4 separate regions of the Mus musculus genome follow, and regions 2, 3 and 4 are each reported to be linked to region 1. Evidence: microRNA targets listed by miRTarBase, many of them from high-throughput screens and not tested one by one. Region 1 holds a microRNA gene; each other region holds the end of a gene's coding sequence.
What was found. The annotated mature microRNA mmu-miR-743b-3p reads GAAAGACAUCAUGCUGAAUAGA and lies in region 1 at 3,866-3,887, opposite strand. An mRNA with a match to its seed (bases 2 to 7 or 8) in the 3' UTR can be bound and repressed. Matches are read on the target gene's strand: a 7mer-m8 pairs with bases 2 to 8, a 7mer-A1 pairs with bases 2 to 7 and ends in A, and an 8mer does both.

Region 1 (7,125 bases):
ATAGAAACTGAAGCAACAATGACTAATTCTTTTTACAATGCTCTAATTACCCTGATACCTAACCATAGAAAATCCAACAAACAAAAATTACAGAGCAATTTCCCATATAAGTATAGGTGTACCAGTTTTCAATAAAAAATTTGCAAACTGACTCCAAGAACATATCAATAATATTACCAACTATAATTAAGTTTAACAGATTAAAATTGATGAACACAATCCAGTACATAAACAGATCAAAAGACAAAAACCACATGATCACTCACTAGATGCAGAAATGACCTGACAAGATCTAACATCACTTCATGATAAAAGGTCTTGGGTAACTAGGGATACATGGGACATAATACAACACAATCAAGGCAGCCTAAACCAAACTTACAGAAGTTACCAAAGTAAAAGGACAGAAATTCAAACTATTTCCGTTAAAATCAGAAACATAAGAATATCCCTTCTTTCCATATATATTAAATATAGTACACACAAACAAACGGGCTCACAGAGACTGAACCACCAACCATGAAGCTTACATGAAATGGACCTAGGCCTCCTACATTTACGTAAAAGATGAGCAGCTTAGTTTTCCTATGGGACCTCTAGCAGCAAGAGCAGGGGCAGTCTCTGACTCTATTGCCTAACTCTGAACTCCTTTCCTATAACTGGGCTACTTTGTCTAGCCTTAACTGGGGAAGATGTGTCTAGTCTTACTGCAATTGTAATGCCAAGTCTGGTTGATGTCCATAGGAGGACTCCCCTTTTCTGAGGAGAAAGGGAGGAAGTGTGGCCAGGGCTTAGCATAAAGAGAAGAGGGGTGGATGGGGGTGAGGAAAAAGGAAGGAGTAATAGATGAGGGAAGAGCAGCCACTGTAAAGATCATTGTGGAGCTTCCACAGGAAGCTGTGAATAGATCTGCATTTACATGCAGCTATACAACTTCTAGGCATATACAGAATGGACTCTATATCCTACTACAGATAAACTTCCTCAACCCTGTTCACTGATACTCTACTTGTAACATTCAGAAAATTGGAACTACCTTGGAGTCCATAACAGATTAATGGATAATAAAACTTGTACATTTACACAATGGAATATTATTCACACGTAAATGAAGAACTTCATAGGTAAATGAATGGAACTAAAAATATGCTAATTGACTAACCTAGATCTCCAAAGCAAATGTGTTATGTTTTCTTTTATGTGTGGATGCTAGTTTGTTTTTATAGCTAGATAGCTAATGCTCAAAAGGACACCATGAAAACCCTCAAACTTAAGCTATTGCCAAGTCTTTTGGTTATTCTACACAAACTGAATATGGAGAAATCAAGCATTTGTCTCTGTACAGCATTCACCTCTACTAACTAGTATTGATAACTGAAGATAATCTATGCTGCAAGTTATCAAAGAAAAAAGATGATCATTAATCCAATTACAGACCATATGACCAATAACAAAGATATGCCTGCAAGGCATGCTGGTGAAAAAGTAGTACAAATGTTGTGGCAGAACATAACCTCTTTATAATAGGACTTAAGGCCCACTCCATGAGACAGAATTCACATCCAATTCTATACAATCAGTCAAAAACATGAGACTAGAAAGGCCGTGAGCCTAGAGAAAACCAGTTTTTCTGTAAAGGACCATAACAATAAAATGACTCCTAATGATATTCTATAGTATGTATAGATCAGTGTTTTCCTCAGATATCATCAAATATGCTTCTTTTTCTTGGAACAATGTGTAGAGAGTAAGGGGTATGAAATAATCATTCCTAAGTGGGAGGTCTTTATCAAACACCTTCCCTTGGGGATCAAGGAGTTGTGCTGAAGATGAAGCTGAAAGACAATGAGAGCCAGAGGTAATGGATAACATCAAGGAAACAAGACCTTCTATATACAACAGGACTGATGCACATATGAACTCATCCAGACTGTGACAGAATACACAGGACCTGAACAAGTTCAAACCAAACATGTTCCCATGAGTGAGCATGGAAAATGGATATGAATTCCCATCATTAACTAATAAATTATTTCCAATTGACAGCTACTTACAAAGAAAAATTGTTTTCTTCAATTTCATCTCACTGGGTATAGTAACCACATTTAATTGTAGGCTCTATGCCAAGAATTATACAGCCAACACAATATGAACTCAATTATATTTTGTAGGTATTCTCTGTCTCTCCTCTCTCTCTCTCTCTCTCTCTCTCTCTCTCTCTCTCTCTCTCTCTCTCTTTATGTGTATAATGTGTTTCTTGGGCATTTTAAATTATTCTTTATTCACTCATTTATCTTGCTGATTTTTCTAAAGGAAGATAAAGAAATCTGGTAGTGAAGGTGGGGAGGATCTCAGAGAAGATGGGGGATGTGAAATTGTGGTCAGGATATATCTTAAACATTTTCAGAAAAAAAGAAACAAAACAAATGTAGAAGTGCTGACTCTATCAACTCTATAACCTCTAATAATATTCATCACTTGTACAAGTTATGACATCAGGAAGGATGCCTGAACCCTGAACACACCTAGGGAATGCAAAACTCATTATACATCACCTTGCATATATAATTTGACATCTTCTTCCTGCATTCCAATAAGATGAATAACTCTGAGTACCAATAACTGATCATCACTCTCAGCTTAATACCCTTTCCTTCATTCTTGCCAGACCACGTGCCAAACTTAGGGCCTCAAGCATACAATCTAATTATTCTAAAGACTGTGCTTTAGGCTCTTAAAAGTATGTTTTTTAGCACATAAATAAATTGAATTTTCCTTCTGTATTTTATCGGACCTATGTGAATTTTTGAATAACAACAACAACAAAAAGCATGAAGGTGACAACAACACCATTAAAAACCCTGAAGGTGTCCTAGGGCCCAGAAAAGTCAAAGAACACCATAATCAGAAATGCTAGGATATTTGTACTTATACAAAAATCACTATGCTAAAAGTAATGAGACAGCTTGTTAGACTTATTCTACTCACACAGAAGAACTGGTTAACAGTTTAAGCAAATATGGCTCTGTATAGAATTTTAGCATGTAGGGCGGGCCTCAATCATGTCCTAATAGTATCCTATTTATCAATCTGCCTTAATGAGTATAAAACCTTAACATATATCATATTTATTCCTATCTTAGGGAATATTCCTTGTACATAACATACTATGTCCTACTATATGGTTGACTGCCAAACTTTGTGTTAATTCTCCAATCTATATGCGGCTATAAAGTTAACACTGGGAATCAAAATTGTACTTAGGTAACAGATTAGGACTGGTTACATTTTGTGTAACTACAGATAAAACACCCTGACCACATAATACCACCTGCAATGAAGAACACAATAAGCCCTACTCTACTCAGCTTGGTGTCTTTCATTCTTATAAACATGACAGGCACCAATCTGAATACAGCACTGCATACAAGAACTTTAATGAGAATGCTCTGCCCCAGATCCTTCATCTACATGTCACACAAATCATTCTGCCCCACTCAACATGAAAACTCACTTCTGTTTATATGTATATATTAGAAAACATTCCTACAGTAGGCTATGAGTTTCTAGTTCTTCACTGTATACTATGTCCTGGTCTCTATTTACAGTGTTGATTCTCAAATCTACATAGATAAAAGATGTATCATTTGTTGATTGTGGGTTTAGTTTCTTCTAAGTATTTTTTTCTTTAACCTACATGTTATAATTGTGTAAAAATTGAACATCTAAAATTATACTCTGGATAAATATGGATCCTGAGGGTTACATATGACTAATTACAATGAGGGATTCATGTCAAGTGTAACTGCACTGCACCACTCTGACCAATTAAGGCATAATAAATGAAGAATATCATGGGCCTTACTCTATTCAGCATGATGTCTTTCACAAATATTTCACATGATGGACACCAGTCTGAACACAGCACTGCACACAACATACTGCCCTCTCCCACTCCTATTTCAGTGTCCTGGACAAAAAGTTAAGTACTAGTTGCATGCTTTGCATCAGTATGACTGATGCTTCATCTTTTTTTCTCTACCATGTAGTAATAACCATCATATTTGAGGATCCTGTCTAAATTCACCTTGAGGATGTATGCTGTGAAGATAAATACAGTATATACTAGTTTTCATGAGCCTTCATCAATTCTTGTAGTCTAGTGTGATAGGTGAACACTAGATTTCTTTATTCACAGGTCCAGGAAATGACAAAATCCTTCACCTTTCATTTCTCCTTCTGAATGTTGTGATCCCAATTTTTTATCTCATTTTGCTGATATTAAATATCCATTAATAATAAACATATTACTTTTATAATTGCACTCTCTGACCATTTTGAGGCATGTGTACAACCTTAAGCACCTTTTAAGTCTAAAAAAGTGGGGCTTTAAATGAGAAATGATGAAAATGGTAGCAATCTCAAGGATGCCTTTGAAGACGAAGTATAAGGTCCAGGGTATACAAAGTAAGGAGCTTGTTGAACATTACTCACTCTGAGAGACCATGTGTACACGCACTTAAGTCTCACTGACATTAATGTGTATAGGGATTGACACTAAAAAGCTTTCAGGAGAAATAGTACTCAGCAGAGAAGAGCCCACCAACTGCTTTTCCATGGTCAGCACTGAAATAACATACATAAAACTTTCAAAATATGGACTAAGCAGGGCATGAATGAGAGAGAGAACAAAGGGGTTAGTTGATTAGAGTGGCTGAAGGGAAGAAACGAAAGGGGAGAATTATAAAATATTTTAATTTAAAAAGCACTTAAAAATTAAAATGAAACTAAACTTATTTTCCATAGTGCTATGTCCCTAATTTTAAATATTTTCACCTATGAGAAATAGGAATTAGATGAAAGGTTCCCCCTATATCTTCACCTAAACAATGTCCTGTGAAGGTAGCTACAATCGATCTTAGAATCAGAAAATACTCTTGCATGTGCATCTATGTTCTTACATTTACAATGACAGTACTTTATGAGTATCCTTATATTGAGAGAGATACCCCAAACTGTTTAAACTGTTTAAACCCTTTTCTTAAAGAGACTTCCTCCACTGCCAGAGATCTTGAATAGCCTCCTGGTCAGTCATCCGGAAACAATTCTTCACATAATTAATGAACTTGGCTTCCACTTTGGGAAGAGAACCGCCTTTTTCTATACTTGCTTGCATTTTTGCCTTAATGTCTTCTACAGAACTAGGTCCTTTTGGTGTTTTAGGAGTCTTTTCCTGTTTTTTGAAGGACTCTTGACCCTTTGATCTCGGTGTTGACGGTTTTAAGTCTTTTCCATTTTGGTTTGATTTTTGTGCATTTTTGGCTGGGGTATCTCGTACAGATTTCTTCACTGGGACCTTTTCTTCAGTTTCCTCTTCATCAAAATCATCATCATCATCATCCTCATCATCCTCATCATCGTCCTCATCATCTTCATCAAGTTTTACTTTTTTCTGTATCCTTATATTGAGAGAGGTTAGTAGAAAGTGACTGGTATCTGTCCTATATCACAATGCACACACCAAAATGAATGGAGACATATCATCTCATCTGACTCTTGCATTACCAAGAAGTTTCAGGAGTCCTTAACTCAAGTTCTTAGGGAATATATATACTCTCCTTCACTTTCTATCTCTACCACTTCTGGATCAGAGAGATAAAAGTCCTTTAACTTTATTTAATTACTGGGAAGGAAATTATTTTTTTTTTCTTTAGATTATCTTCTTTCTTTACATTCTCTATTTTGAAAGTACCCATGAGGTGAAACATGGATAGTCTACACTATGTTGAAAAAGTAAGGATATGGGGCAACAAAGACTCAAACCGTTTCTGTGTTTAGTCTTTCATTAACACAGTGTACCTCATTTTCTTTTTATGAAAGCATAATTCTTAATTTTAGCACCTTGTTCTCCTTTTCCTTACCTAACATAGATGCTTGAATGCTGTCCCATGAAAGTGATTAAAAAGATACACACAATTGTATAGTAAGGCTTTGTGATCATCCTGAAAACCATTATCAGTGATCTTACATGGAAAGCACTAATACTACCTAGAACCTATCAAAAATAACTGAATTAAAGAGCAGTACTTTACCTGGAAGATTTGTCGGTAGTCCAACTGTCTAACAGCTTCTTGAGTGAGATATAACATAAAGCATGAAGATATGGAGGTATCATCCATGTAGGCTAATCATCCCAAGCAGTTTTCATCACTTCACCAATTACAGCATGACATATTAACATTGATTTATTTATTTTCAACTGTTTGGGAATACAAAATATACTTTGTCACCTTGCATGATAAAGGAAGACCTCTTGACCTATAGCCAGATAGCCAGTGTGACTTTAAGATTAATCAGTGATATACTTTGCAAATGACTTTTAAAAACTAGGTAATGAAAATCTTCTAAAAGAATCAGAATATTGGGAGCATAGGATGAGAATACAACACAATTGTACCTGTATATCGCTGTTCAATTACTGGAGAAAGTTACAGAATACAGAAGATAGGAACTTGGTCTATTTAAATTCAAATCACTGATACCATCATAATTTCAGTGACTTGAATTTAAATCTGTTTGGTTCTTTTTCACTTAGGGCCATATTTATAAAGGAAGACTCTAATTACTTGTAGCTTTTCAGTCCACTTTCGTGCACTCATCATCTAAGTTGTCACAAGATATTTGAATTGATATTCAGTTGGGCCTGAAATCATTGATTGGTTTTATTTCTGATATTTATATTCATGATCCCTATTGAGACTGGCATGCAATTTTCTGTTCTTATAATTTGTATAATTTGGGTTCTGTGCAAGCTAGAATAATGCTAACTTCCACAACATTTAAACTTAAAAAAAAAATGAGAGCATAGTTTCTTCAGGTACAAGGAAGCAGATTCTGGAGCCATAATAAGGATGTATAGTTTCTTCATCTTTACTACCCAAGGCCACAACAAATGAAGAACATGATGAGCTTTACTTTACCCAGCATGGTGGCTTTCACCTACACTTCACGTGATTAGCAACCATGTGAGTAGAGCACTGCCCAGGTACTCTAGAACCAGCCCATCTGAAGTCTTTATTTCAACATGTGAAATAAAATTGAATAGAACATTGAAGTAAGTCGTCA
Region 2 (7,125 bases), not on the chromosome of region 1:
ATGTAAGCTCTCTTCAAAGCAGCTTAAAAGCTAGAGAAAAAAAGTTTTCTCTGATGTTTCTTTATGCAGAAAGTATATGTGTGTGTGTGTGTGTGTGTGTGTGTGTGTGTATAAATATGTAAAATGTAACTTTTATTCTCCTGTAGTAATTGTTTTCTCTGAGGCTTACTGCCTCCATCTGCTAACCTAGGCCTACCTGGTCTGTCAAGTCTTTCTCTGATTGTCACTTTGCCACTCAATTAGTCATCACTTTCAAACACCGGTGATCCCTTCTACAAACTAACTTTACTTAAACTTAATTGTTTGGGAGTGATTTGGAAAAGGTAGGGGTGTGTGTGAGTACTAAGGTTGTGTCTCTATTCCAGCCAAATGAATTAAGGATGTGTGATAACGGCTAAGCCACACCACAACTAGAAACAGATACTGTCAGTAAATAGCACAGTCTCGGGGTTCACAGTGTGACCAAATATCCTACAACATTATATATAATGCATATATATTTAAATCTAGATTCTGTACATAAATTATAATTTTTGAGTGTATGTACATAGTAGAGCTGTGGAGAGGGAAGAGGTAGGTGTGTGTGTGTGTGTGTAGGTCAGAGGACACCCTTGGTTGGCATTCCTCTTTTGTGCTGCTTTGATTTGTATGGATTTGGTTTAGTTTGGTTTGCTTTGGTTTATAGGGTCTCACTGAGACTTAAAGGTCACCTTTAGACCAGGTTGTCTGGCCAGGGAGTTGCAAGGATCCTTGTCCTTGGTCTCCCCATCATTGCGATTTCAAGGATGCTAGTGATCAAGCACAGGTCCTCATATTGAGCTGGCTATCTTTCTAGCCTCCGAGATATATGTTTTATATACTTGTTAATTCCATATTGAGGCTGGATTCTAGCCAGCTAAGATTACAGCCTGAAACTTCTTGCCCCTTGGTTCAAAAAAGGTATTACAGCCATTGTCCCTGGGGTCTTGTAGAAACAATGCTTCAGATTGGCAGTTGAGCCTGAGGTTAACAGTATGGTAGGTACTGTGGTGTTCTCCTTGGGCATGTGAGGAACAAACAGATTGGATGGCCCTGGCCATCTGTGAGCCCGAGTCTAAATTTACAGCCCTCCCTTAGCATACAGTAGGCTGCATGGCCATCAGTTTGACTTCCTGTTGTCTTCTGAGTCAGAAGGCTAGCTCTGATGAATAGTCCTCATTTTTAATTCCAAGTGCTTTTTACCATTTTACTTGTAAGTTGCTTAAATCTCTTGTGACAGAATACCCAAGAGAACAATTCAAGGGATAAAGGTTTGCTTTTAATTTTATTTTTATGTACATGAGTGTTTTCTCACATTTATACATACCTGTGTGATGTGTGTATGTACAGTGCCCGAGGAGACCAGAATAGGCATTAGATCTCCTGAAACTGGAGTTAATAGTTTTGAACCCATTTGTGGGTACTAGACTCAATCCCAGGTCCTCTGGATGAACAGCCAGCGCTCTTAACCACTGAGCATCTTCAGCCCAGGGAGAACAGTTCGTGGGGTTCAGTGTATGTTTACTTGACTGTTTCTGGGCTCCTGAAACGTGGCTGCAAGAGCCTGTGAGGACAGCTGTTTGCTGTATGGTAGAGAAGATGTAGAGTAGAGCATCTTACATCATGGACAGGAAGGAGAGAGCATCCAAAAAGTAAGATGCAGACCTCAAAGATACGTTCCCAATGACTACTTCCCCTCACAAGGCAGGATGTTCCACCACCTCAATAATCTACTTCGAATCCACCAATAGATGAGGTGAGAGCACTCATGATCTGAGCATCTCTGGGAAAACCCCCGTAGACACATAGACCAGTAAGGTCTAGCTGCTCCTGATCCAAACCAGCACAAGAGAGCCGGCTGATTCACACTTGATGTTGTAGCACTGGGGGCAAGAAATGGGGAACATGTGAGTTCAAGATCAGACCTTGCTATTAAGTAAGATGTTAATTCCTGCCGCCCCCCACCCAGAAGTGGATAATCCTTTCTGTGGGTGCATCACTAAAAAACAAACAAGTACAGAAACAAAAAACAAATTTCCTTTTAGAGTCTTCCAAGTTTAACCCCTCTGTGCTGTTCAACTTCTGTCTTAGGGTTTCTGTTGCTGTAAAGAGACACCACGAACACAGCAACTTTTATAAAGGAAAGAATTTAATTGAGGCTGGGGTCCAGTTCAGAGATTTAATCCATTATCATTGTGGTGGGAAGCATGGTGCCATGCAGGCAGATGTGGTGCTGGAGAAGGAGATGAGAGTTCTACATCTGGATCTGCAGGCAGCAGGAAGACAACAAGACATACTAGGCCTGGCTTGAGCTGAGAACTCAGAGCCTACCCCCAGTGACACTATTCCTCCAGCATCACCACACCTACTTCAACAAGGCCATACCTCCCAAGAGTACCACTTTTTGTAAACCTACGGGTTCCATTTTCATTTTCATTCAGGCTACCACAGTATCTAAGCTGAAAGTTGAAGAGAAAATGTACAGGAGGGGGGGGAATGTGTTTATGCATATGGATATACATATATATGTATATATGCAAACACACACATATATATGAACTTTATTACAAAAGGAAAAAAAAAGATTCCTTTAAAAATCCTTTGAGCTGGGCTGGAGAGATGGCTCAGCGGGTAAGAGCACTGACTGCTCTTCCAAAGGTCCTGAGTTCAAATCCCAGCATCCACATGGTGTCTCACAACCATCCGTAATGAGATCTGATGCCCTCTTCTGGTGTGTCTGAAGATAGCTACAATGTACTTATATATAATAATTAATGAATCTTTAGACTGGAGCGAGCAGGGCTGACCGGAAGGAGCAGAGATCCTAAATTCAAATTCCCAGTAAACACATGATGGCTCACAACTATCAATACAGCTACAGTGTACCCATAAAAAAAAAAAGTCCTTTGAGCTTTCAAAATCCTGCATAGAGCCTCTGGGACACTCTAGTGTGAATCTGGAGGTGCCTCGCCTACACCCGAGCGTGTATTGTCCTTTGCTGAGCGCTTCTCTTTCTGCTAACTCAGATACACCTGTGTTAAAATCTCTTCAGAAACTCCAGCCATGCTTCATACTAGCCCGTCTTGAAGGTTTTTTTTCAGCAGTGAAGTCAAGAATGCCAAGGTCAGGACTAGCAAGACTGTTCAGTAAGTAAAGGCATTTGCTGCCACACTGGACAGAGTTCAAGCCATGTGAGCCATATAGACCAGGCTGCCCTTGAACTCAGGGGGTCTGCCTGCCTTCTCCTCCTGAGTGCTGAGACTGAAATCATGATACCAAGGCGCCTGGTAGTGGAAGACCAGTTAGCTGGTGGTGGTGGTTGCTGGTGAGTTTCTGTTTTGACCCAGTCCTGATTATGTGGGTGATCTAACTCTGTAATGAGCACTTGGCGCTTGTATGTATGCTCCCTACCCTAGTATGCATATTTTATCTCAACTAAAAATTGAAGATTTTGTGATTGCTGGTGGGAGAATTGTCATTTCATCTGTCACCAAGAGAAAAGGAAGGCAACAGAAGAGTTGATCAATCCATTTTCACCAATGTGATAATGGACCGTGGTAAAGGAGAAAGACCTGATAATTTTACTTTCAGGTACATACCCTAAAGAAAGACGTGTCAGGAGTGGGCAGTGTAGCACAGTTGGTAGAATGCTTGTATGGTTTATACCTGCAGTGTCGTGGATTTGGTTTAATGCTTGTATTATGTCATTTGAGTTCCCAAAATTGCATGAGAATCACATGTGTAAGACACTGAGGGTCCCTGCCCTTGGTTGGTTTTGATTGTTAAATAAAGTTGCCAGTAGCCAATGGCTGGGCAGAGAGAAAGAGAGAGAACAGAGGCAGGACTTTAGGACTCAAGGGCAAGGGGACCAGGGAGAAAAGAAGAATACCATGCCAGGAAGGGAATAAGATCTAGGCTTGAGGGCTGCAGAGTAGAGAACATGCCAATCATCTAAGAGCTAGGAATTGCCTCACCCACACTGGGTCTAGAGTAGCAAAGATGGAATATAGATTTTAGTAAGTAATAATTCAGGAATATCAGAGGGGAGGTGTTAGTAATGTGAAGTTTGGGAGTGGCCCAACCATTGAGCTGATTAAGGCATATTAAATATAAGGCTCTGTGTGTGTGTGTGTGTGTGTGTGTGTGCATACTCATCTTTCATTCGGGAATCCAGAACACTGGGGCAGGTAGGGAGGAACTCGAGCTGCCACTGACATGAATATTTGAGAGGTTAATCACCTACAGCCACACACAGCGGCACATAAACAGGGCATAGCGGCACTGCCCCCGAATCCCAACACTCAGAGGTGGTGCCAGAGAGGTCATATATCCAAGGTCATCTTTGGCTACACAGGGAACTCAAGTCTACCCTGTACATGAGACCCTTTCTTGAACAACAAAAACAAATGAAAAAAACAAAATAAAAATCCAGAGATTTGTGCAAGTTTAGTAGTGTAATAGTAGGGGGAAGTTTGAAACAATTTAATACTAAATGGATACAACCAAACTATGAAATGCTATTTAACCATTAAATGATAATATACATGTTTATTTACTAAATCTGCTTACAAAAACTGTTGTGTTTTAAAACCCAGGGTGTAATCTTTCTTACATATATATGCATAGGAAATAATCAGGTATAAAATGATAGTAACAATAGATAGAGGACCATGGGTGACTCTTAGTTCCTTCAGGTTTTTATTGCCTATTATTTGTTACTTATATGGTACTGTGAGAGGAAATTAGCTCTGGGGCAGCAGTTTTGACAGTCAGCGTCTTCCTCCACGTCTAGTCTGCCTCTTTACATCTGCCTTCCGGGGGTGCTAAGGAATGTTCTCCAAGGATTCTATGTTTATAGAGTATAAAGCATGCTGGTGATCCCAGGAGCACATCCAAGTCTCATGTTTAGACATGGGAGAGGGCCTGCCTGCAGCTTCTCTGATGCCTGAGTCGTATCTGTCAAACCTCACCCTCTGCTGTCCAAGAGCAGAGAGAATCATAATTCTACAGGAATTTCACAGTGGTGGTTTGCCACGCACTCTGGTGGAGTCAGCTTGACAGGCGAAAGCTTGGAAGCTATCTCATGAGGAAGAGTTTCACGAAAGCTCCCTCCTGGAGTCTGGTGAAAGCCACGCTCTCCAGTTGGGTCAGTTTGACAAGCGGAAGCTTGGAAGCTGCCCACAAGGAAAAGAGTTTCACAGAAATTCCCTCCTGGAGTCTGGCGTTCCCTCTAAACCATAAATTAATTTTCCACTCCCGCGTTAGTCTAGTGTATGGATCCATGTGCCCTCTATTAAGCATTACCCTATTGTAAGTGCCTTTTAAGATTGAATTCTGACATAGCTAAAGCCCCCCCGCCCCCCCCCCCAGCGCCCCCATTGTTCCAAGATCCCAGATAACAGCAAGGAGTTTAACCTATTCAGTAACTAATTAAGCATTACAATAAACAAGGCCATTAGCTCATCTGGTCTGCAGAAAGAGCCTGGGAATCTCACTGAGATAAAAATCTTTAGTACAGGCTACATTCCATGCCAAGAGCAAGTTGAGATACTCTCCTGATAAATGGGGATTCTCCAGACAAGATAAGATTTAACAAGGCCTAGGAATTTAGGGGTCCGTGACACTACATTATTCTTGAGGCCTGCCAAGAGTAATTACCCCCTGGTGCTTTTAACACTAAAGTGTGAAATTCTTACCTGGCACTAGGCTGATGATCCTAGGCAGGGCTGATAATCTCTATTGTAAACATTTATCTAGTTCCTGCAAATTCCTTTCGAAGTCATTCTCTTGTATCTGGTAAATTTCAGTGTACCTTGTCTGGTGTGACATATCGCCCCTGGAATTTTTTCTGTATTATAAAAAGTCCGAGGTTCGACCTGACATTACATTCAGATTCAACGCCTCTCCTGTGTGCATCTGTTTGTCAGTTTAATCCTACGCTTTGCCCACCTGCTCGAGAGACCCATTCCACGCAGACACAGGGACCCAGAGGGTCTGCGGCAGTGGTTTGAATAGCTTTAATTGGATTCTACTACAGCCTTCAGTGACAGAGGGGAGTGTTTTCCAGATTTACCGTACCGCTCCACTAGACTGCCAGCAATTTCCCAGTTCTTACAAGGGGCTCTGATGTCCAGGTGCACCGCTAAAGGCAGTTCTCCTGACTTTGATTTGTTACATCTGATGCTCACAGCCAGAGCTGAGCAGATCACAGATTCATACCACTTGCTTCCTTGCAGTTTGAGGCACAAGCATGCTATACTAAAGACACATACCTAAACAGAGAGCTCAGGGGATGGGGGTGAGATCCCTGCACCAGTCAGTGAGGGTTCCTCTAGCTTGGGTTCTCTCCGGGTCTACAGATCCTGCTGTTTCCACCTCTGATCTTCAGCTTCTTCTATATGATGGGCAGACAGGAGATTTATATCAAGTGGGTGCTGAGGCCACCAGCGACATGGACCCCGAAACTGGAACTAGCTCTGGTGTTACAGTCTGCTCATTACTCCCATTGTATGCATACAAGTATGCTTTGTGTCAAAGAGAATTCATAAAGAAAAAGGAACTGTCCCCATCACACCCCTACTAAAACAATACAGAGGGCAATACATAAGACAGCAGGAAACTTGAAAAAGGAGGGCCTGGCCTCTTGCAAGAAGAGATCTCTGAAGTCATGTAGTAGTTGTAGCTTCCTGGCGGTGCCATTTTACACAATTTTCTCTGAAGGTCTGGGCTTGCCTTCCTGTCTGACTAGCGGCCTGAAAGAGACAAAGATACACAAGAGATCAACTATCATTGTGGCTAGAACCTCTTTAAAGTAGTACCAGCACGCGAGCGCGCGCGCACGCGCGCGCGCACACACACACACTCAGTTTTTGATGGCTTTGAGAATTTGTCCTTAGACATTAATGAATGAATTACCTCAGCCACCCTTTCCTTTCGTCCTCAAGGCACCCAAAGAGGGGTCTGCACTGCTCAGGAGAGTTTAAAGACCCTGCCTCAGGTCACACAACTCTTAGGCAGCTGAAGTAGCATCTATGCCCAGTTAGGCTTCCTGGAACCTTCCTGAGTCCCAGGAGGGTGAGATTAGAAGCTGGTTGTTTTAAGTCAGCG
Region 3 (7,125 bases), not on the chromosome of region 1:
GTTGGTCTCTTGCCAGAGAAGTGGGCGACTGCCGTGGAGAAAGACAGCTGGCCACTCTGTGTGGTGACCTACAGAGTGCCAGTGTGGCTGCTGGGCCTTTATAGCTTGTGTGCTCTTAACAGTCGGGGAGCAGGTGCTTGTGACCTGTTAGGGGCATGGCCTCCCATCTGAGGACCTCTGCTCTTGTCAGGTTTCTGCTCATTGCTGCTCTCTGGAATTTTCTTGTGCTTTGATGGATGTCTCTGGAGCTAGGCCTGATCCTTATGGTGCAGAACTACCCCAGCTACTCAGGAGGCAGAGGCAGGAGGATCATGAGTTCAAGGTCAGCCTGTGCTACATCTGGAAAAAAGTAAAAAGCAATAGGACGTAATGTTTGTCATCCCAGCACATGAGGAAGTAGAAAAACAGTCCGAGGCTGAAGGTCATCCTTGTCCACGTAGGGAGCTGAAGGCCAGTGTGAGCTCCATCCATCCATCCATGTATCTAAAACAAAAGATGGGCTATAGCTTAGTGGTAGCAGGTGTGTCCAGCATGCATGAAGCCCTGGGTGCTGACCTTATTACTGAGGGAACAAAGCCCCCAGGTCACCCTGGGAGGAGATTCCATGTTCCCTGAGTGAAGCAAGGGACAGGTCTTGCTTAAGGTGACTGCCCACTCCCACCTTGGTCTCTGACTTCAACTGGAACAAGAAAGTATTGGGGGTGGAGCTTCGGAACACACCTGACCTCTTTCTCCCCTGCAGTGTACCACTGGGTGGAGATGCGGACGAAGATGCGCATAATGGGTTTCCGGGGCACTACCATCAAGCCACTGAATGAGGAGGCAGCAGCAGAGCTGGGTGCTGAGCTGCTGGGCGAGGCCACCATCTTCATTGTGGGCGGAGGCTGCCTGGTCCTGGAGTACTGGCGCCACCAGACTCAGCAGCGCAATAAGGAGGAGGAACAGCGGGCAGCCTGGAACGCTCTGCAGGATGAGGTGGGCCGCCTGGCACTGGCCTTAGAGGCGCTGCAGGCTCAGGCACAAGCGATGCCCTCCTTGAGTGCCCTGGAGGAGCTGCGGGAGGAGCTGCAGGAGGTGCGTGGTCAGGTCTGCAATGCTCACTGTACTTCCAAGTGCCAGGCAGCATCTTCCAAGAAATAGCCAGCTGCTAAGGCCTGGACTTGTTTGTGACCATGTGGCCTCCAATAGAGCCTTCTCCTCACACCTCCTGGCCCGGGATGCTCTGGCCTAGCAGAAACCACGAGGACCTTGATGTAGCTGTGACATGTGGTCACCCCTTACTGACAGGTTCTGGGCATTTCCCCAGGGAGCACTCAGCAGAAGCCTTCAGAGCCCATCCAGTCTCTGACTCAGAGCCCTCAGCCCCTCATTGGACTTTCAAGGTCTCAGACACCTGACTCTCCACTGCTCTGGCAAAGGCAAAAGATGGAACCAGGGCTCAAGTCTGATCATGACATAGACAAGGTCACCTGCCCATCATTGGAGCGCCTCCTTCCTTCGGTGAACACAGGCCACCTTGAGCCTTGCCTCAGGTCAATGTAGCTCCCATGGAGGCAGCAGAGTGCAATTGATGTTCCCGTTCTCTCTCCTCATTCTCCCTCTGAGGTCCCCAGGGGATCACGCCTGTATAGATCCCCTTACTCCTCAGCCTGTGGCATTACCCCATTTCCTCCCTAGGCACAGACGGATCCTAGCTGGCTCGATTCTGACCTGTCTCAGTCGCAGCCCCGCTGCCCTATCCTGAAATGTCCCTGAACCTTGTTTCGGGTGGCACATATTTCCTCCTGTCCTTCTGTGGTATTTTTCAGTTGGGTGGGTTAGATGTCACACACACACCTGTCTGACCCTTCATACCCCTTAGGTCTGGGTCCCTCTACCCTTTCTGTTGCCCCACCTTCCTTGCTCGATCCCCCCAGACATGACTTACTGCTGGGAATGTGATGGAGGAAACAGAGTAACCTGTTCTCCCACCGTTCTGGAAGCCAGCGGCAGAGGTCAGGGTGTTTGGGCCCCACTTTCTTCTGGCTTCAGGGGCCCCAGATCTCCTAGACTCTGTGTCCTGTCTTCATGTGGCTTTCTCTTCCCCCACCTGTCTCTTGCAAGGACACCTGCCCTGAATACAAGACCCACCCTAAATTTAGGATGACCATATTGAAAGAGCCTTTATTACATCTCTGAAGACCCTTTTTCTAAATGGAGACACACAGGCCCCAGGATTCAGACATGGAGTTTTCTTTTGAAGGCCCTCTATTCAGCTTGCTGCCTTCTGCCATTTTAAAATGCAAGGCCCCTACTATGCTGTTTGGCTCTTCCGGCAGCCTACTCATGGCTTCTGGGGTTGGGCTAACCACTATAGCTCCAGAAGGATTGTGGGTGCAGCAGTCACTGTCATGGTTGTCCAGTTCCTGATGGAGCTGCAGAATAAGGAGGCCTCCTAAGGATATATGAGGGGCATAATTAATACGGACCTTCAAACTGGGCCAGTGATCATTAACAATAGAGAAATCCGGGCTTGGTAGCTCATATCTGAAATTCCAGCACTCTGAGGCTGAGGCAGGAATGAGCCTGGGTCCCATCGTGAGTTCCTGGACAGCCTGCTGAACCACAGGGAGAGACCCTGTCTTTAAAAAAAAAAAAAAAGGCAAAAAGTAAAAAAGACAACCAAGCCAGACAGTGGTGATACACGCCATTAATCCCAGCACTTGGGAAGCAGAGGCAGGTGGATTCTGATCGAGACCAGCCTGGTCTACAGAGTGAGTTCCAGGATAGCCAGGGCTACACAGAGAAACCCTGTCTCCAAAAAAACAAAACAAAAGTAAAAGAAAAAAAGACAACCTTGGAGGAAAGGCAGAGGTTTTGGCTCTGGGGGAAAAGGAGCCGAGACTCATCCTGTGAACTCTTCCCACATTGGGAAACTAAGGCTCAGGAAAAGGGAAGCTAGGTGACTTGGCCAAGACCCCATAGCTCAGGAGGGACCAGAGGACCCAGAAGATTCTGGCTGCAGGGCAAGATGAGATAAGGCCCAACCTCTTCCCAGTGGCCAGAGGCACTGGGTTCTGCCCTCTTATCAGAAAAGCCCCAGGCCACACCCAAGATGTCTGACTATAGGTAACAGGTTCATTCTCCCTGGCCCTTGTCCCTAGAGGTGGCACTTGTAGGGCTCCCCCAAGGGGATGAAAATGACCCATCCCCAGGATTCCCCAGACTGAAACCAATACTGAAACTGTACCTCAGTTTCTTCTAGAAGAAGCTGAAGTTGGTGTCTTTAAATTTAGGAGCAGCTGAGTTAGGTGAAAGCTGAACTAGGGACAGAGGACACACATGGCTAGGTGATGAGGGGAGGACAGAGTGAGGAGCCAGGAAAGCTGCCTGTTTGCCATGGTTACCCCTGTGGAGTCACTAAGAGTTCCAGGGCCAGCCCTGGCCACCTTGCCCTGGGTCAGTCTATAGCAGTTATGGCAAAGCCAAGACCGGTGAGGGCGCTGAGCTCCATCAGGTCAGTCCTTACTCCAACAGACCAGCCTCACTGGTGGTGAAGAGCCCCATAGGAATGGTTTCTCTGCTTGCTTGGGAGGAAACAGGCACCAAGAGGAAATGTCACCTTTGGGTCACCCAAGCATGAAAGTAGGCCTCGGGGCCCACCCTGACCCAGTGGAGCCTTCACATGGTCCTGGTGTATGTGGACATGGCAGCCTCTCCCATGATGACAGTGCAGGAAGCCACCGTGGTGTGGTGTGTGGTTCCAGAAGCCTCTGGGGCAGGAGGCCAGAGCAGCTTTCATGGCTCTGACTCCCTACTCATGCAATGTTACATATCCCCACAAAGGGAGAAGGAGGACAATAAATTTATGAATGAAGCTGGTTGTCTTCAATTTTATTTGTGTGTGCTTTTAATTGAAAAAAAATCAAAGGGGGATGGAGAGATGGCTGAGAGGTTAAGAGCACTGACTGCTCTTCCAGAGGACCTGAATTCAATTCCCAGCAACCACATGGTGGCTCACAACCATCTGTAATGGGATCCAATGCCCTCTTCTGGTGCATCTGAAAACAGGGACAGTGCACTCACATATGCGACATAAATAAATAAATAAATAAATAAATCTTTAACAAGAAGGAAAGAAAGAAAGAAAGACCGGGCGTGGTGGCCCACGTCTTTAATCCCAGCACTCGGGAGGCAGAGGCAGGTAGATTTCTGAGTTCGAGGCCAGCCTGGTCTACAGAGTGAGTTCCAGGACAGCCAGGGCTACACAGAGAAACCCTGTCTCAAAAAACCAAAAAAAAAAAAAAAAAAAAAAAAAAAAGAAGGAAGGAAGGAAGGAAAGAAAGAAAAAGAAAGAAAAGAAAAGAAAAGAAAAAAGAAAAGAATCCTATAGACTGACAAATAGAAGCACTGGCCACCAAGCCTGATGACTTGAGTTGGATCCCCAGGACTTGATGGTAGAAGGAGAGAACTGACTCCCTCGGTTGTTAGACCTCCATATTTACCTTGAAATATGCACACAACCATAAACACACTAAATAAATAAATAAACAAAATGTGATGAGAACTTTTTTTTTAATTCCAGGGATGGCATAGGCCTTTAATCCCAACACTCGGTACTCCTGCTAAACAAGAAAGACTGCTAGGGGGCTGGAGAGATGGCTCAGCAGGTGAGAGCACTCACTGCTCTTACAAAGGTCCTGAGTTCAAATCCCAACAACCACATGGTGGCTCACAACCATCTGTAATGAGATCTGATGCTCTCTTCTGGAGTGTCTGAAGACAACTACAGTGTACTTAGATATAATAAATAAATGAATAAATAAATAAATAGACTACAGAAGACCCTGTCTAAACCAACCCAGAATTGCAGCAGGCATGGTAGCGCGTACCTCTGAATCTCAGCACTTGGGGAGTCATTGTCCTTCTCAAAATGACCTTAAAGTCCATCTTAACCAGAAAAGCTGCCCTGTTCTTTGCCATGCTGGGTCCCCATCCCCCAGTCAGCTGCAGCCCCAGTCTCATGGATTTACAACCCAGTGAGGAACAACTGCACACACACTCAGCATTACCTGGTTATGTGAGTAGATGGGGCTGGACCTAGACTCTTCCCTTCTGAGTGATTTGGGGCTTCAGGGCATTGCAGACAGAACCTTGTCATACCAGCTCACACAGCCTGAGCCAGTGTTGGTGGCTCTGCCTGTCCCATCCCTGGCTGTTGGTCTCATCGGACAAGCCACCATAAGAGAATGAATCTTATACAAGCTCCAGCCGGTTCCCCTGGCCCCAAAGCCATCCCTTGGCTGGCCAGTGTGAGCACTGTGGATAGATAGACTGGCAGGAAAAGCCTGCCTTAGTGGCTGGGGTGCTATCACCCACCAACTGGACACATGTGCATGGAGCAGCTACTGTGTCCAGTTTTCTCCCCGTGTCTGGATAAGCCAGGGACAAGACAAAGCTCAGCAGAGCCACCATGGTGCTGCCATTCCAGCATATGGGTAAAGAGCTGGCCCTGGGGAAGTGATGCCGTAGACAGGGCTCTTGTCTAGCATGCCTGAAGCTCTGAATCCAGTCCCCGGCACTACATAAACTGACATCCTGCTACTGTGGAGGTGCCTCAAGTTCAAAGTTGAAAACTCCATAGGATGAAGACGCAGGTAAGAGCAATCAATCCTAACAGTGCAAAGCTTAGTAGATTAGGCCCCTGAGCTGAAGCAGTCAATAAATGTTTATTACAACAGCTGTGCTCACTCACTTTCACATTGTCGATGGCCACTTTAGCAGAATTTGAGACTCTGAGATGCTTGAGAACAGTTAGTTACCCACTGGCTCTTTACAGGAGAAGTTCACTGACCCCACACAGCAAGGGCAGACAAAGGTCACCCTCTCAGGGAGCCAAGTGTGGTGGCACACACCTTTTGTTGTTGTTTTTTTTTGTTTGTTTTTCGAGACAGGGTTTCTCTGTATAGCCCTTATCTGTCCTGGAACTCACTTTGTAGACCAGGCTGGCCTCGAACTCAGAAATCCGCCTGCCTCTGCCTCCAGAGTGCTGGGATTAAAGGCATGAGCCAACATGCCTGGCTGTCACACACCTTTAATCTCAGCATTGGAGAGGTAGAGGATGTCAGAGCTCTGTTGAGTTCTAGGTTGGCCTGATCTACATAGTTCCAGGACAGCCAGTGGCATGTAGAGTGACCCTGTCTCGAAGATGCAGAGAGGTGGTGGCACATGCCTTTAATCCCAGCAATCAGGAGGCAGAGGCAGGAGGATCTCTTTGAGTTTGAGGCGAGCCAGGCCTACAGAGTGAGTTCCAGTACAGCCAGGGTTACAGAGAAACCCTGTCTTGAAAAACAAACTAAATAAAAATGGCAATCAAACTAAACCTCTGGAACAGGAGGTCACTAAGGCCCTGGACCCCTTGTGTCAAGCATTAGCTCACTCGTCTGTGTTCCTGATTCTCAAACCCCACAGGAGCTGCTACCAGCAGCCTCAGAAGGCCTGAGCTTGCACTGCAATCCTTGAGAAGGAGGGGCTTATGTAACCCATCCTGGGCACACTGTAAAGTAATTCTCTTCTCCCTGTATGTGGATCTCAGGGTTGTGTAATTCTGTGCACATCTGTATCTGTAACATGATGTGTGTAATGTTGTATATGTCTCTGGAGTGACAGTTTGGCAAAGTCATTACTCAGTAGGACTTGCTACTATGTCTTCTTTTGTGGTAATCTACTTCATAAAGAAGAGCTAGCCCGGTGTGGTGGCGCACAACTTTAATCCCAGCACTCGGGAGGCAGAGGCAGGCGGATTTCTGAGTTCAAGGCCAGCCTGGTCTACAAAGTGAGTTCCAGGACAGCCAGAGCTATACAGAGAAACCCTGTCTAAAAAACCTTACTGAGGAACCAATTTTTAACTCCCAGCACCCACATAGTGACAGTGGCTCACAACCATTTCTAACTCTAGTTCCAGAGAATTCAGTGCCCTCTTCCACACACGCACTTTGTCCACAGACATACATGCTGTCAAAATATTCATACACATAAAATAATAAATCAATAAGAACTATATAAATATTTGAATATGTACATGCATGTATGTGTTCTGTGCATTTAAGATATATATTTTTAAACAATATTATCTGAATGTGACAA
Region 4 (7,125 bases), not on the chromosome of region 1:
ACTCTTGGACTGTGTTCCACACCAAAGCACAGAAGCTAGGATGTAGAGTCTTGGGTTTCAGAGTCTTGTTTGTTCTGAAGTCCCCTTGACTGAGTCCTTCCCCATTCCTGTACTAGGCATGTCCAAATCTTATTCTAACTCAACTTGTCTGTGTAGCTCCTTTCCTGTTTCTGTCTTGTCAAAGGCAATGATACTGGGCTTAAGGGTTCAATGAAGAATTAAGTTATATTTATATTAGTTGTTACAGGAATACAGTTTCAAGGACAGGCTTGCATTTTCTAGAGCTTCATTTTGTAATTTTTAGTGTTATGTTTTGACTTATTCTGGAGTGACAGGCTTTGCAAGACCAGATTAGTTCATCATTTCCTTTTTAGAAGTATGTCAATGGAAATTGGTTTCATATTTTTTTAAAAGATTTATTTTATTTATATGAGTACACTATACCTGTTTCCAGACACACCAGAAGAGGACATCAGATCCCTTTAGAGATGATGGCTGTGAGCCACCGTGTGGTTGCTGGGAATTGAGTTCTTAACCACTGAGCCATCTCTCTAGCCCTCGTTTCAGATTTTTAAAGTTAGGGTTACTTGTTTGAAAGCCATGTGATTGGGGAGGTATGGAAGGCTCTGCACACATGCACCTTTCTTTCTCTTTATTGACACTCTGAATTTTTGTTTCTTGGTTCTAGGAAGTCATCTCCTACTATTCCCAATATTCTTTAGATGAAAAGATGCGTAGCCACATGGCCCTGGACTGGATTATGAAGGAGCGTGAATCACCAGGAATTCTCTCTCAAGAGCTGCGTGCAGCCCTAGGGCAGCTGGAGGAAGCCAGGAAGGCTGGACAAGAACTACGATTTTACAAAGAAAAAAAAGAAATCCTGAGCTTGGCCCTGACTCAGATCTATAGTGACCCTGACCCTTCCTCACCCAGTGATGACCAGCTAAGCCTCACGGCTCTGTGTGGCTATCATTAGCAAGGCCAGGTGGCAGGTTTCCTGAGGACGTTCACATCAGGAATCTACCTGACAGAAGTTGTTAGAGATTTTAGCATGATAGTCAGTACCTGAAGGCTGTACTGCTCCTACACAGTCTGTTCACAGAATGGGAGGCTAGGGTTGACTGATCCCGATCCCAACTTCCTACTTCATGTATGTTTTCAACCATTCCCTTAGGGATTCTACTTCAGAATAAAAAGAAAGACAACAAAATTACTTTAGAAAGCATTCTTCAGGGTTTGATCTAATCTAAAAAACCTAGTTGATATGTGCCTTGCTAAATTGTATGCATTGCTTCACACAACAGTCCAGTAGAGCAGTCTTGGAGAAAACAGCAGCCAGGACTAGGGAAAGGATCATGATAACTTCTTTTTTTCTTTTTTTTTGGGGGGGCACAGTTTCTCTGTGTAGCCCTGGCTGTCCTGGAACTTGTCTTTAGATCAGGCTGGCCTTGAACTCAGAGCTCTGCTTCTGAGTACTAGGATTAACTACATCTACCACAACCACCTGGCCTATAACAATGTTTTAAATACTTAAGAGTAAATAAATAGTACAGATGATTTAAAAAAAATGTACAACACTCAGCATGTTTTGAACCCTCCTGAAAATTACTGTATCCTCATTATATATTTTGAAATTAGCTTTAATAACAAACACTATCACATATACTTCTCAGACAGGATGAAATTAAGTACATAACTGCCCTATTCCAATGTCCTAAAAAGGTGATGGTGTGTAGTGTTAGATGATTTCATTTTAAAATGATATTTTTTTAAAAATCATATCACTTCCCATAATGAGGCTAAATGTTCTAAGGAAAAAAAAACTTTAGATTTTTGTAATCTTGAGAAGGAGTTAGGATTTGTGTGTGTGTTGAATAAATTTTTAAGTGAAGAAATTTCTATTTCATTTTTTTTTTTACAAACTTTTTATCATTTCAAATTCAGCACATTTCCCCATGTTGGCTGGGATCTTTACGTGCAGTGCATGTTTACTGTGTTTGGCAATGTCCACCTCAGAAGATTGATATCTGATTAGATGCAAGAACAGTGCTTGCGTGGGTCAAGCTTCTCCTCTCTTTTATAATTATGACACTGTACAAATTCTCTGAACTGAAAATTACGTAGACTATTTTTCCTTGGAATATTCTCAGAAACTTCAGCAAAAGCAACAAAGGTTATGGCCATGGCTGGCCCTATCTAATAGCAAATCAACTTCAGCCAGGGCATTGTGCCAACCGAGTATCACACATGTCTGTAACACTGGCACAGAGGAACCTAAGAGAGGGACAAGACAAACACGCACGCTTGTTCTTAACACTGCACTGTAGAAAGGGACAAGAATAAAGGAGTCTCTAAGAAGATGGAGCCATGAAGGTGGTGCTTGTTGTTGCTATGAACTCCCTGAAAATTGAATAAAAAGCCACAGACTATCTCATAGCAATATATAATAATTTCATAAAACATATGGCCCTGCCCCAAAATTTATGGATTAGCCCAGAGCATCATTGACCCTTAGTTTGAAGCTCACAATTTTAAAAGCATACATAGTTTTACACTTCATATGAGAGATCTAGTAACCCATAGACCATATATTTTTTTCTTTTCTTTTCTTTCTTTTTTTTTTTTTTTCCGAGACAGGGTTTCTCTGTGTAGCCCTGGCTGTCCTGGAACTCACTCTGTAGACCAGACTGGCCTCGAACTCAGAAATCTGCCTGCCTCTGCCTCCCAAGTGCTGGGATTAAAGGCGTGCGCCACCACTGCCTGGCCATAGACCATATTTTTAAGATTACTACCATTACTCTGAAATCAAGAATTGTATTGTTTGGGGCATGATGGTTTAATTTTTATAAAAATCAAAATGCACCTTGTTGTTATGGAGAAAGAAATTAAGACAAACTAGACACTAAACTTTGGCAACTGTACCAGAACATTACAGATTTAATAAAATCATTGTTCCTTCAATATTCTGAATTTGGCTGTCCATTTTTTTTTTTTAAAGCTACGGTTCACGTGCGCTTTTGCTCTTAACCTTAACTATTTCTAGAAAAGAAATAGAATCAAGTCCTTGGATGTGTTCTTCACTGAGAATCTGGTCACCTCAGTCTGGGCATAAACAAATGGGGGGGAAACCCCAAAAGTTTATAACTCTCCTATTTCTTTGGGGGAAAAATGTTTCCAGTCAAAACAATTGTAGTTGGCTATAGACTAGAGGTTTTAGAGTTCTTATTTTTATTTCGCAGTGTCTTTCTTCATAGCTTATGTCAGACTATCAAAGTTTTCCTCACCTTTCACTATGTTCATAGGTAACCACTAGCCCAAACATTGTCACCTTATGTTTTTGTGGTGTCCATAAAAATTCAAATCACAGCCTTCTTCTTCGCTGAAACTTGGAGCAAATGGTCTGGAGTGTTGATACTGCATTCATCTAGGGTTCCAATATAAAAGAACTTATTTTCTCTACCTTAGTGTTTTGGGTTGTGCATGTAAAATACCCAAAGAGCTTTAACTTTTTTAAGTGGTCAGACTGTTTCAAGGTGAAATTAGACGGTTTGGGTGCATGGCCCATGCATCAGTCTTGAATATCTTTCATCAGACAGTTCTAATATACAGCATAGTTGACAGCTACTGCCTGCTTTCTCTAGTCATCACTGATGCAAGTCCATTACCTAACCTGTAGAGCCACTGTCCCACTTTGATCTTGGACCCAAACCAAAATTTAGAACTCTTTTAGACTACATGAGTAGATACTTTTCCTTGAACATGTTTTCTCTGTCACTCCGAACTAAAAGAGGAAAAGTGTACACACAGATGTGTGCGCACACATACACAGGGGAGGAGGGTCAGTTTACATTGACAGCTAAAAAACAAAAAAAGATGAATACAAGAAGAAACCATGGCAAAATACAGCCCCGACAGACACACTTTCAGTGACATACCCCAACCAGTGTCCATCCCCTATGAACTCCCAACAATACCATCCTATTATAAATCCGTGAAGGCATTAATCCATTAGTTAGGTCAGAGCTCTCATGGCCTAATTACCCTTGGAAATGCTATCACAAACTAGTCTAATCTCCTCGGTGTTTTTCAATATAGCTAACAAGTCATCTGATCCAGACTCTGCCCAGGGTGGACTCCTTTTTTTATATACTGTATGTGAAACATCTACACAGAATCACCTGAGATCCTTGTTTGTTAAAAAGTTCCACTGTATTGCAGAACGACTGAGCAAATTCTAGGCAGTTCTAGGTTATTTAATACTTCTTTTCATGCTTCTGACCACACTCCAGTCTTTGATATTCCAGCCTGAATTCACTTAATATATCCTTCACTGAGCAGTATAGCCCTGGCCTCTCAGGTAAGAACATACAGAGGAGTATCTTTCTGGAAGCTAGAAATTAGCAGAAGGGGCAAAGAGCTATGTTTTTCCTCTCTAAAGAGCACCTCGGCACCAACATTTGGTCTGACTTTCAAGCATCCTGCTAGGAGCCAAAAACTCACTTCTTTCAATCTAAGTAAACCTTGGTCATATTTTTGTCTGAGAGCAAAACTGGTGTAGAAATGTAAGCAGAACTTCACTCTTACAGCTTTTGATTTCTAATGAATGCTGGTTTCCAGTGAGAAATACTAGATTGCAATTTATAGGCAGTTCCTAATTTCAGCATGAATTGTATTCCATAAGTTTATTTGTAAACAAATTAATCCAACTCTGAGTGGTGTGTGTGTGTTTAAGAGCAAGACCAGAATTGGTTGCGATTTTCCCAGAAAAGACTACTTAGCTATAGAGTACCTAAAATTTTGATCCACAAAACCTGAGTCTGATAAACCAAGAAATTTGGGTTTATCTCAAAGATCAAGCACTTGCCTAGTATGTGCAAGGCCCTTATTTGGTTTCCAGATCCAAAAGGTAGAACAAGGAACAGCCCTAGGTAGCGGGCCTTATTCTAAAACATCTCCCTGGGGTCATTTCTCATGTCCAGATTGGTTGTCTTTTTTTCACTCTCTATCACCATTTAGTCATGGTTTCTTCTGTCAAATTTCTGAAAACAAACAAAACAAAGAGAATGGCTTTTTCTACCAGAACAATAAACCAGGACTTGACATCTTTGCGTGGTTTTTCATGGCTATGCACACACGTATGCATGATTGCGCATGTCTCAGGGTTTGCTTTCTTAAATTCTGGATCCATTTTTACTGTGATTCTTTCCTGATGCAACATGATAGTAGCCATATGAGTAAGTCACCCTATCAGTTCCAATCCAAGAACCAAGTACCACCACAATGCTTTTGTCCCAAGTCTGCTTCTGAGTTGATGGTTGTGGTCAGACCTGTGTTACCTGTCTGTCTCACTACAACCAGTGGTCAAGTCAAGCTCATATAGACAACTTAGACATAGTGCAAAAGGAGGAGGGCAAAATATGGGTTCAGTTACCAGAGGGAAAAAATGGCAATTTCCCAAGATATTTAAAAACTATTTCCTTCTCAAAGACCTTCAAAGACAGCATAAACAATAGAAGAAATGTGGTCTCTTCAACCAGAAATTGGGAAAAAGACTTCTGGGTAGACACAAGCAACAGATGTGTACCATGAATACATTTTACCATTTCCAAAAAATCAAATTCTTCCTTCAAGGACAAACTGCCCTATTAAAGATATTCAAAAGAATGATCTCCCCAGAGGGGAAATATAAAAGTGCTTCCAGACCAATCACATAGGAACACACAGACAGACACCCTGAGGACTCCTGAAGGGGATGTTGCTCATTTATATGTAAGAGCTCTGTTGCACACAAAAATCTAATCACTCATATTAGTCTGCAGTCACACTTCATATATTTTCAGAACTGATGAATTGGTGCTATGCAAGTGAGTCAGAAAATTTCCTCTAGTCTGTTTCTGCTGGGCACTGGCTTTCATTATCAGTGGCTGCTAATGCTCCCAAATGAAAGGGGTAATTGTTAACCCAACAAATGCAAACAGTTGGAGTAAAAAAAAAATTCACAGTTCAATAGTCCAGATCCTTTATTCATCCCTACTTGAGACTGGATTATTTGAAAATCTTAAACCTGCCTTGCTGACCTGTGAGTTGTGATGTAGACAGTCATAATGTAATGTAGGAACCATGCTATTCTGAAGTGATCTACTGTGTCTACACAAACACTGTTCTAGCCCATAAGTAATTCGTTGGTGATATTGGGAAGCAAATACACAGTATTTGGTGAAAGATGGTTTCCAAAGGGAAAACTTGAAAACGCAGATGATCTATTGAGATTCCAGATTGCTAGAAAAACTGAAAAGCCAATTTGAGACTACACCTACCTAAAATTAAAAAGAATGAGATGTTTTACCCTTTCAGTTAATAAGTAAAATGATCTGGGCTATCTATCTATCTATCTATCTATCATCTATCTATCTATCTATCTATCTATCTATCTATCTATCTATCTATCTATCAATTATCTATCATCTATCTATCTATCTATCTATCTATCATCTATCTATCTATCTATCTATCTATCATCTACCTATCATCTATCTATCTATCTATCTATCTATCTATCTATCTATCTATCTACCTACCTATCTATCTATCTATTACCATTTACCATCTCTACCTATTTGTCTATTGGGTAAAAGCCTTTGATCACAAAACCACTAGTGCAAATGAACTTTTTAAAACTAAGAGAGGAGACTTCATGTATCATAAATGCCAAAATATAGTTCCTTTTATCATAAATGAGAACATTTTTTAAAAAGATTAAGTTTGGTAACTTAAGACAACTTTCCTTCAACTTTGTCTTTTATTTAGTGCATACTTGTTGTCAACTTGTTTGAGGTCTTTTTTCATTCCTTCATGTGTAATCAAGGACAGTATCTCCTTATCCCATTTATCAGCTGTCTGTGAAAAGCCAATAGGGCTTGGCTCGCACTCTGTGGAAAGGAGGGTTCAGTGGGCTGTATCTTCATCCAGGCACCTTCCTCCCAGGCATTTCAGGTGCCACACTTGTTGACAGTAGGATTTACAGGGGAAAAGAAACACCTCAGAAACTATATATCCAGTTAGAAAAGAGTGCGTCAGGGTTAAAATAATGGGTTAAGCTGAAAGTCTGTCTATACAAAAGAAGGG

Region 2: the mRNA of Cd8a is a reported target of mmu-miR-743b-3p. Seed matches in the 3' UTR shown: 8mer at 6,278-6,285.
Region 3: miRTarBase lists Opa3 as a target of mmu-miR-743b-3p. Seed matches in the 3' UTR shown: 8mer at 2,619-2,626.
Region 4: miRTarBase lists Lix1 as a target of mmu-miR-743b-3p. Seed matches in the 3' UTR shown: 8mer at 1,428-1,435.

The regions. Positions count from the first base shown.
Region 1 is chrX:66,773,401-66,780,525 of GRCm38, forward strand. Mir743b (microRNA 743b) reads right to left here and starts at 3,932; the gene lies at 3,856-3,932. It overlaps Mir743 (microRNA 743), which reads right to left and starts at 3,418; the gene lies at 3,357-3,418. Mir742 (microRNA 742) reads right to left here and starts at 7,037; the gene lies at 6,973-7,037. It also overlaps the pseudogene Gm14681.
Region 2 is chr6:71,376,505-71,383,629 of GRCm38, reverse strand. It overlaps Cd8a (CD8 antigen, alpha chain), which reads right to left. Exons shown (of 5, transcript NM_001081110.2): 5 at 4,459-6,770. The coding sequence ends at 6,719. Among named protein-coding and RNA genes, the nearest start is that of Cd8a, 6.6 kb to the right of the region's middle.
Region 3 is chr7:19,244,012-19,251,136 of GRCm38, forward strand. It overlaps Opa3 (optic atrophy 3), which reads left to right. Exons shown (of 2, transcript NM_207525.3): 2 at 743-2,806. The coding sequence ends at 1,140. Gm38499 (predicted gene, 38499) reads left to right here and starts at 5,424. Exons shown (of 2, transcript NM_001370864.1): 1 at 5,424-5,636.
Region 4 is chr17:17,456,418-17,463,542 of GRCm38, forward strand. It overlaps Lix1 (limb and CNS expressed 1), which reads left to right. Exons shown (of 6, transcript NM_025681.2): 6 at 689-2,970. The coding sequence ends at 976. Among named protein-coding and RNA genes, the nearest start is that of Gm41537, 31 kb to the right of the region's middle.